2 linked regions of the Arabidopsis thaliana genome follow. The protein of the gene in region 1 interacts with the protein of each later gene in a pairwise test. Each region holds a gene or a part of one and is shown on either strand. Other genes may lie near its edges. The genes, in order: RACK1C_AT and MKK4.

Region 1 (4,175 bases):
AGTAATTAATAAAACTGAGACAAATTAATGTTTGTAATTGCAGCATGTAAATAGGCTTGAGATAACCCCAGATAAGCATTATCTAGCTGCAGCTTGCAATCCTCATATTCGACTCTTTGATGTCAATTCCAATAGTCCTCAACCTGTAAAACTCCTCTCTTTTTTTCTCAATGTGGTGTTTGCTTCCTTCTACCTGCTTGAGTGATCTTGATGGAGTCGTCGTGTGTATTAGGTGATGACTTACGATTCACACACCAACAATGTTATGGCAGTAGGATTTCAATGTGATGCAAAATGGATGTATTCAGGATCAGAAGATGGCACAGTTAAGATCTGGGACTTAAGGTATATCATGTCATCTTCATCTTTAGCTAAAAGTTTATAGATTTATTCAAGTGTGGATTCTGGGAAAGGATAAGGAGATATTGAATATAAAGTTACGAAAAATACTAAGAACGTTCTAAATTGTATTCTTGTTGACTCGTAAACCAAAATGCAGGGCTCCGGGTTGCCAAAAGGAGTATGAAAGTGTTGCAGCGGTTAATACAGTTGTTTTACACCCAAATCAGGTACATGAAGTCATCTGTTATTGTTGTGCTGTGGGAATCAGCTTCGTTTTATGTTTAAGAGAGTTGTTGTATTGCTACTGTTGAAACTGCTGTGATTTTGGTAGTTGTCTCAGCTGTTATTATGAACTATTTCCTTAGTCTTTATTATGAACTTTGTTTTTTTTTTTTGTACAGACTGAATTGATATCTGGAGACCAAAATGGAAATATACGTGTATGGGATCTCAGAGCAAATTCGTGTAGCTGTGAACTGGTAATTGCCTTTGACACGTCTTCATTTCATTTCTGAAAATCCGTAGATAATCACTTGAGGTTAACTATAGGTACCAGAAGTTGATACAGCTGTACGGTCTTTAACTGTTATGTGGGATGGGACAATGGTAGTCGCTGCTAACAACCGTGGAACATGTTATGTATGGCGCTTGTTGCGTGGAAAACAGGTAGTGTTCCTGATATGCAAACCTTTCTTTTGTTTAACCATGTTGTAGTCGCATTACTCTAATTGTCCATGCCATTTAAAAATTCAAAATCTTTTACAGACAATGACAGAGTTTGAGCCCCTTCATAAGCTGCAAGCTCATAATGGCCACATCCTTAAATGTCTCCTCTCTCCTGCAAACAAGTAACATGTTTCTTATACTTTCTCTTTTAACCGTTTTCTTCATCCTCTCCTTTTCGAAGCTCTTACATATTTGTTAGCAGATATCTAGCGACTGCATCATCTGATAAAACTGTCAAAATATGGAACGTCGATGGTTTTAAACTAGAGAAAGTTTTAACAGGTATGTTCTCCATGTTACTGTCAACAGCATTCATTCTCCATTATCGTCTCTTACACTATCATCAAATCTTATATAACAGGACATCAAAGATGGGTTTGGGACTGCGTCTTCTCAGTGGATGGAGAATTTCTTGTAACAGGTACTAATCTCTGTCTTAACTTAAACCACTGAAAAACATATCAGAACAATCTTTAAACGGGTTTCTATGATGTTGTACAGCATCATCGGACATGACGGCTAGATTGTGGTCGATGCCAGCAGGCAAAGAAGTGAAAGTGTACCAAGGTCATCACAAAGCCACTGTGTGCTGTGCACTTCACGATTAAAACCTTAATAAGAATCAAAGCTAAATTATGAACAAACTACGATTGTGTTATTTGTGTTTTAGTAAACTCTTGTACATTTCAATCGAATTCGTTCAAATTGCTCTTATGTTCCCTCTCTGATCAAACATTTCTCAACTATATCACAACAAAAATGCTCCAACAAAATTTATTTCAGAAGAGGCCCATTTATACCTGACTCGGAAACTCCGGCCCAAATGAGCCAGTCTCCTCGCAGAAACCACACTAAACCCTAATTTGATTCATTTTTAGACCTAGAGTATAAATACCAAACATTTCAATCGACCTCGTAATCTCTCGCTCTGTTACGCCATTTTCGTGAGTAAGAAGAAGAAACCCGAAAACCTCAAACCATGGCCGAGGGACTCGTATTGAAGGGCATTATGCGCGCCCACACCGACATTGTCACGGCCATCGCTACGCCGATCGACAATTCCGACATCATCGTCACAGCGTCGCGTGACAAATCCATCATCCTCTGGAAACTCACAAAGGACGATAAGTCTTACGGTGTTGCTCAGCGTAGGCTCACAGGTCACTCTCACTTCGTGGAAGATGTTGTTCTCTCATCGGACGGTCAGTTTGCACTCTCCGGAAGCTGGGACGGTGAGCTCCGTCTCTGGGATCTTGCCACGGGAGAAACAACTCGTCGATTCGTTGGTCATACGAAAGATGTGCTCTCTGTTGCATTCTCTACTGATAACCGGCAGATCGTGTCTGCTTCTCGTGATCGTACGATTAAGCTTTGGAACACACTTGGTGAGTGTAAGTATACCATCTCTGAAGGTGATGGTCACAAGGAATGGGTTAGTTGTGTTAGGTTTAGTCCTAATACTCTTGTACCAACTATTGTATCTGCTTCTTGGGATAAAACTGTGAAAGTTTGGAATCTCCAGAACTGTAAGCTGAGGAACTCTCTTGTTGGTCACTCTGGTTACCTCAACACTGTTGCTGTCTCGCCTGATGGTTCGCTATGCGCCAGTGGTGGGAAAGATGGTGTTATCTTGTTGTGGGATTTGGCTGAAGGAAAGAAGCTTTACTCGCTTGAGGCGGGTTCGATTATTCACTCGCTTTGCTTCAGTCCTAACAGATACTGGTTGTGTGCTGCTACTGAGAATAGCATTAGGATTTGGGATCTTGAGAGCAAGTCTGTTGTTGAGGACTTGAAGGTTGATCTCAAGTCTGAGGCAGAGAAGAATGAAGGTGGTGTTGGAACTGGTAACCAGAAGAAGGTACGTCATTATCTTATGATTTCACTATAGTAATTGGTTCTCTATTGATAGGTTAGTGAATGCACCAAAAGTAGTGATGAAATTATCTTTGGTTATGACAAAAAAAAAGTGAAATTTTGGTTAGAAATTGCATGTAGGAAATCTTTTCCCTTACCCATTAGCTTTGAAACTAGGAATTTTATTCTTTAAATGTTGCTCTGCTCCAAAGGTTTTGACTTTGATGTTAACATATAGGAAGAGATTGATAATGGTATCTAATGGGAATGTGTAATGAAAATGCAGGTTATCTACTGCACAAGCTTGAACTGGAGTGCAGATGGAAGCACATTGTTCAGTGGTTACACTGATGGAGTTGTCAGGGTCTGGGGTATTGGTCGTTACTAGAGACACAACAAGATGAAGAAGAAGTCACGAAATCTCCGGAAAAAAGTTTAGCTGCTTTTAATTTTTCCAGACTGCGTCAGTATTGTATTAGTCTCTCGCAAACCTCTATTTTGGCAATTTTTGTTTAATTTCCAGAAGAGAAAAAAACAATCCATTGATTATCATATCACTATATATCAAAAGGTCACGATTTTGATTACACTTACCTTCGTGATCTTCCGATTGGTCTTATTGAGGTTCAATCTTCACAATTCATCCCTATAATATATCACTCTTATCTCTTTCACCGGCCACATTACAAGCCTATTAGATTTCTAAAGCCCATGATTGGCCCAATTCAGTTAGGGTGGGTTTCTTTGTCTTCAAATTTGTAACCACCGGAAGCAGAGGAGAGTATCTTCTGAAGCATTAACCTAACTTATTTATGATCCTTGAGATGATGATGGCCAATCTTCCAAGGGATTTAGTGAACCTTGTTACGGATACGTACAGTATGAACTCTACTACCTCAAGTCCTCAACTCCTCTAAACCACGGATGAATATTACTATCCCTAACATTAACTCTGCGAACTGGGAGATACAGTTTTCTGCACGTGGCGTGTCTCTCAAGGGAAATACTCAACAAAAGCATCTCCCTGAGTTCTTACTCTGTTATGATTTTACAAGAGAGATATTTGGACCCCCTCTAAGTCTACCGTTTCACTCTTTTAATGAAGATACTGTGACTCTATCTAGTGTTAGAGATGAGCAACTTACAGTGTTATTTGAGAGAGATGATACATTACAGATGGAGATATGGATTACGACTAAGATTGAGCCCGAAACAGCGTCGTGGAGCAAGTTGTTCTTAGCGGTGGGTATGGA
Region 2 (4,743 bases), on another chromosome or scaffold:
GTTTTGAGTAAATTTCGTGGAGACTCCTGGAAATAAGTTTGTTTGTTTTCCTATTTTTATGTAACTTCGCTTAAATTTCTAATTGCCTAATCAAGGTATTAAAATAGCAAAGCTTGGTTTGGCTCAGTCTTCGCGTAAACTCCAAGAAACAATCATAAAAACAAATAAAAAAGACAAGAAACCAAAAAAAAAAAAAAAGTTGAGAGATTTCAGTAGATGAAAGTTGGATAGAAGATTCGTGTAGTTAGCTACTTAATGGGCCGTTAAAATATTTAATAAGGCCCATTGGGTCTAAACTGTGTTAGGATTACTAGGGCACAGAATCGGTCTCTGTCCCATTTCGCGAACTTTCTCCTTAGAATCGGAACGGACGAAGAAGGAAGACAAGGAAGAAGATCGGAGATGGCATCGAATGCGGCGGTTCCGTTCTGGAGAGCGGCGGGGATGACATATATATCGTATTCAAACATCTGTGCGAATATCGTGAGGAACTGTCTCAAGGAGCCACACAAAGCTGAAGCTCTTACTCGCGAGAAGGTTCACTTCTCTCTCTCCAAATGGGCTGATGGAAAGCCCCAGAAACCTGGTAAGCCTTTTCGATCCTTTAATCGTCGATGTTGGATCTTAGATCTGGATTCTTCACGTTCTTGTGTTCTCGATTCCTGATTTGTTTTTGAGTAATTTGTTGGAATAATCTGATTTCCTAAAAGTTATCGGAATTAAGTGGAAAGTGAATCATCTGCTTCTGGATTTGATCTTCGATTTTGCATTTAACCTTTCCTCTGCTTCTGGATTTGATCAGTTCAATACTATCTTCATACAATGTTGTTATGTCCAAATTGTTGAATTTTTCATTTAGAGTTAGCTTCAGAGAAAACAACAAAACTAGTAGTATGTGTGAAACAAGAACATGAAGAAGATGGAAAGCTGATTGGGAACATTGCATTTAGATGTCTTTTCTCGTTTATGTTTGGATCTGAATTCTTCATGTTCTTGTTGTGTGTCATTGAAATTGTTGGAATACGTAGATATCAGAGTAGGTCATTTTGGGAAAGCTATTGAATTTAAGAGGAAGATGAATCATTTTAACAAGCTCCATCGATTTTGCGCTTAATCTGTCTCTCTTCTGCTTCTGGATTTGATTAATTTCATTCTATTTTGTTTTCTCATAAGTTGTTGTTATGTTCAAATTGTTGAATTTGGAATGATTTCATTTCTCAAATAGGGTTTACTGAGACAATGATTCCAGATTTAGTCTATCTGAAAATGGTTCAGCTTTCTTCTTGTTGATCCATTTGTCTAACATTCTCTCATGTTTTTGTTTTTCCTTGACAGTTTTGCGGTCAGACACACCTGAAGTTTGAAGTCAACTTTGAGCTTATGTTCTTAAGGGATTCAAAAGTAACTGAGTTACCAAGATTTGTTTTCTTTTTATTGTCAACAATGGAGCTTGAGTGAAAAACTCATTTCCGATCATAATAATGACACACTGAGTCTTGTGTATCTCTTTTCTTCTTTTGCTATTCTGTTTCACTTTTTGTATGCGAACAATGAAAAAAAGCCTTTAAAGACTCTTCTGGCTAAAGACAAGTTCTTTTGATTGTTACAGAACAGTGAGAATAGCATAAAACTAAGCACATACGTGGAGAATCAATACACTGTCAGAAGTTGAGAGAAGACCATACTTAATATTAAACATGAGAATATACAAACTGATTTTCTGAATCATGTATTTTGAATCGCAGTACGCATATTTGCAGGTTAGACCATCTCCAATGTCACTTTTACGCGTTTGTTTGATTTAAATTCGATTTCCTCTTCTTGGTTTATATCACAAAACCAACAAAACGACACCGCGTAAAGTCTGAAAAAAACTTAACAGAGCCAGAAGTGCCCAGTGAACCAACCACACAAAGTCACAAATGGTTTCCGTGCTTGAAAGTGATCCTCACGCGCTTTACACATCGCGTAGATACCTTTTTCTCGATTTTAACAATTTTGCTATTTATTTCCTTTTAATTAATTTTCTCAAAATAAAAATTAACGTTCCCTTTTCAGTGTCCTTTCAATTTCTTTCGACGAAACTTCATTTCTCAATTTCTTTTGATTTTGATCGCTTCGAAGAACGAATCAATTTAAGCCTGCCACAAACAAACCCTAGAATACGACAACGCACGACGACGAAGAAGTCGAAGAAGACTACTACTATAAACGACGAAGATCATTACTTCAATCTTCAATCGAGCTTTTAAATTTTCAGATCGTAGAAGAAAATCGAACTTTTGATTCCAAAAGCGATGAGACCGATTCAATCGCCTCCAGGAGTTTCCGTTCCGGTGAAAAGCCGTCCCCGTCGCCGTCCTGATCTTACCTTACCGCTTCCTCAACGCGATGTTTCTCTCGCTGTACCTCTTCCTCTCCCACCTACTTCCGGTGGTTCCGGTGGCTCTAGTGGATCTGCGCCGTCTTCTGGTGGTTCGGCGTCTTCAACGAACACTAACAGCTCCATAGAAGCGAAGAACTATTCGGATTTAGTGAGAGGTAACCGTATCGGAAGCGGAGCAGGTGGAACGGTATACAAAGTGATTCACCGTCCGAGTTCTCGTCTATATGCACTTAAGGTGATATACGGTAACCACGAGGAGACTGTGAGACGTCAGATCTGTAGAGAGATCGAGATTTTACGAGATGTGAATCATCCAAACGTTGTGAAATGTCACGAGATGTTTGATCAGAACGGTGAGATCCAGGTTTTGCTTGAGTTTATGGATAAAGGTTCTTTAGAAGGTGCTCATGTGTGGAAAGAGCAACAATTAGCTGATCTATCTCGTCAGATTCTTAGTGGTTTAGCTTATCTCCATAGCCGTCACATAGTTCATCGTGATATCAAACCATCGAATCTTTTGATAAACTCTGCTAAAAACGTTAAGATTGCTGATTTTGGAGTTAGTAGGATCTTGGCTCAGACTATGGATCCGTGTAATTCATCTGTTGGAACCATTGCTTATATGAGTCCTGAGAGGATTAACACTGATTTGAATCAGGGAAAGTATGATGGTTATGCTGGAGATATTTGGAGCTTAGGTGTTAGCATTTTGGAGTTTTACTTGGGGAGGTTTCCTTTCCCTGTGAGTAGACAAGGTGATTGGGCTAGTCTTATGTGTGCCATTTGTATGTCTCAGCCTCCAGAAGCTCCAGCGACTGCGTCGCCGGAGTTTCGGCATTTTATCTCGTGTTGCTTGCAGAGAGAACCGGGGAAAAGGAGGAGTGCTATGCAGCTATTGCAGCATCCTTTCATATTAAGAGCAAGTCCGAGCCAGAACAGGTCTCCTCAGAATCTACATCAACTCTTGCCTCCTCCTCGTCCTCTGTCCTCGTCTTCTTCTCCAACCACATAGCGTTTTCTCTCTTCTTCCCTTCATCAACTCATATTTTTTGTGTTACTACTGTTCTTGAGTCTGTTGTCCAATTTTTTGCTAATCATGGAGGGTCTCTGAATTTTACATTTATTAGGGAGTAAAAAACTCGAGAGAGGGTTTTTGGGATTATTGTTTTCTAGAAAGGTAAAAGAGAACAATGATAATATTCTTATGCTTATGATGGTGCATGTATCCCCAATGTAGCTTTGTTGAATTTTCATAAAAGTTTTTGCCTTGGTTTTTCTTTTGTCATTTATGCTCGTCAATTTTGCATCTTGAAGACGAAAAGGACCGTTTCGTTTCCATTCTCGGTGTTTAGTTTTGTCATTGATAAAATGTCTCCTTGTAAAGCTTATTACCATCATGAAAAAGCAAAATATACGGATCGTAGAATCGTTTCTCAAACCTAATCAGGTTGATGTCCCAGTTTAGAACATCCTTGGAAGAGTTTAAGACAATTCCTCAATCCGAGAGAGCAAAACGACTGTGTTTAGCAAAGTGGGTCTAATTGAAGAAAAGAGGAACTTGGGCCAGCTAAAGATAAAGCCCAATGTTGAAAAGACGTCGTCTAAGGCACAACAACGGTCAAACGGTCATCTCCAAAGTTGGAAAACGACAAGAAACAAAAACACAGAGCAGTGGTGATGAATTGAAAGCTTGTACGGAGAAAGTAGCGATTCTCGCAGCCATTGATACGATTTGATGACAGAGGATGGTGACATCTGTCCTATCTCTAGGGTTTTTCGAGTCACCCATACTCTTGTCTATAAATACTAAATCCTTTAGGTTCCTTTGGTTGCTTCCTCTGCTTGTGAGTTTTTCTTTGTAAGTGCAATCAGTGTTACTCTTTAGAGTTTTTTTCTAAGTTGTTGAGATTTTTGTAGCTTGCTTTGGTTTGTCACAATTTTTGCTTATGCATTTGCCTTTGTAGGAGCTTTTAGTTACGTTTTAGGGTTTTTTTTTTTTGTTACGGATTTTGCTTGCTTGTGCATTTCCTTTTTCAGTGTGATTAGTGAGTAGTTACGTTTTAGCGTTTGATCCTTCTTTATTTTTGTCATTCTTTGGTAAAGAAGCATCACACTGGCTCGATTTAACCACAAACTCCTTCCTCTGTTTTTTGTCATTGATAAAAATGTCATCTTTTTACTATTTCAGTGTGATTAGTGAACAATGAGGAGCTTTTGGTTAGGTTGTTAGCGTTTAAACTTCATTTAGTTTGGTCACATTGCTTCGATTTAGCCACATACTCATCGATCTGTTTTTTTGTCATTGATAAAAATGTTTCTTTTTGCTATAACTTCGATCCTATTAGGAAGCAAAGGTC

The links.
Region 2: the proteins of RACK1C_AT (region 1) and MKK4 come close enough for resonance energy transfer, tested with the Arabidopsis thaliana proteins (one study listed by BioGRID).

The regions. Positions count from the first base shown.
Region 1 is NC_003074.8:6,210,244-6,214,418, reverse strand, and holds RACK1C_AT (receptor for activated C kinase 1C), read left to right. Parts: upstream 1-1,867; 5' UTR 1,868-2,047; coding exon 2,048-2,926; intron 2,927-3,208; coding exon 3,209-3,310; 3' UTR 3,311-3,541; downstream 3,542-4,175. Other genes in the region: LST8-1 (Transducin/WD40 repeat-like superfamily protein), read left to right, coding at 44-145, 233-345, 500-569, 744-821, 892-1,008, 1,108-1,190, 1,271-1,350, 1,430-1,489 and 1 more; AT3G18120 (F-box associated ubiquitination effector family protein), read left to right, coding at 3,847-4,175. UniProt on the Arabidopsis thaliana protein: Minor component of the RACK1 regulatory proteins that play a role in multiple signal transduction pathways. Involved in multiple hormone responses and developmental processes.
Region 2 is NC_003070.9:19,152,278-19,157,020, forward strand, and holds MKK4 (mitogen-activated protein kinase kinase 4), read left to right. Parts: upstream 1-2,045; 5' UTR 2,046-2,297; coding exon 2,298-3,398; 3' UTR 3,399-4,061; downstream 4,062-4,743. Other genes in the region: AT1G51650 (ATP synthase epsilon chain), read left to right, coding at 403-586, 1,336-1,364.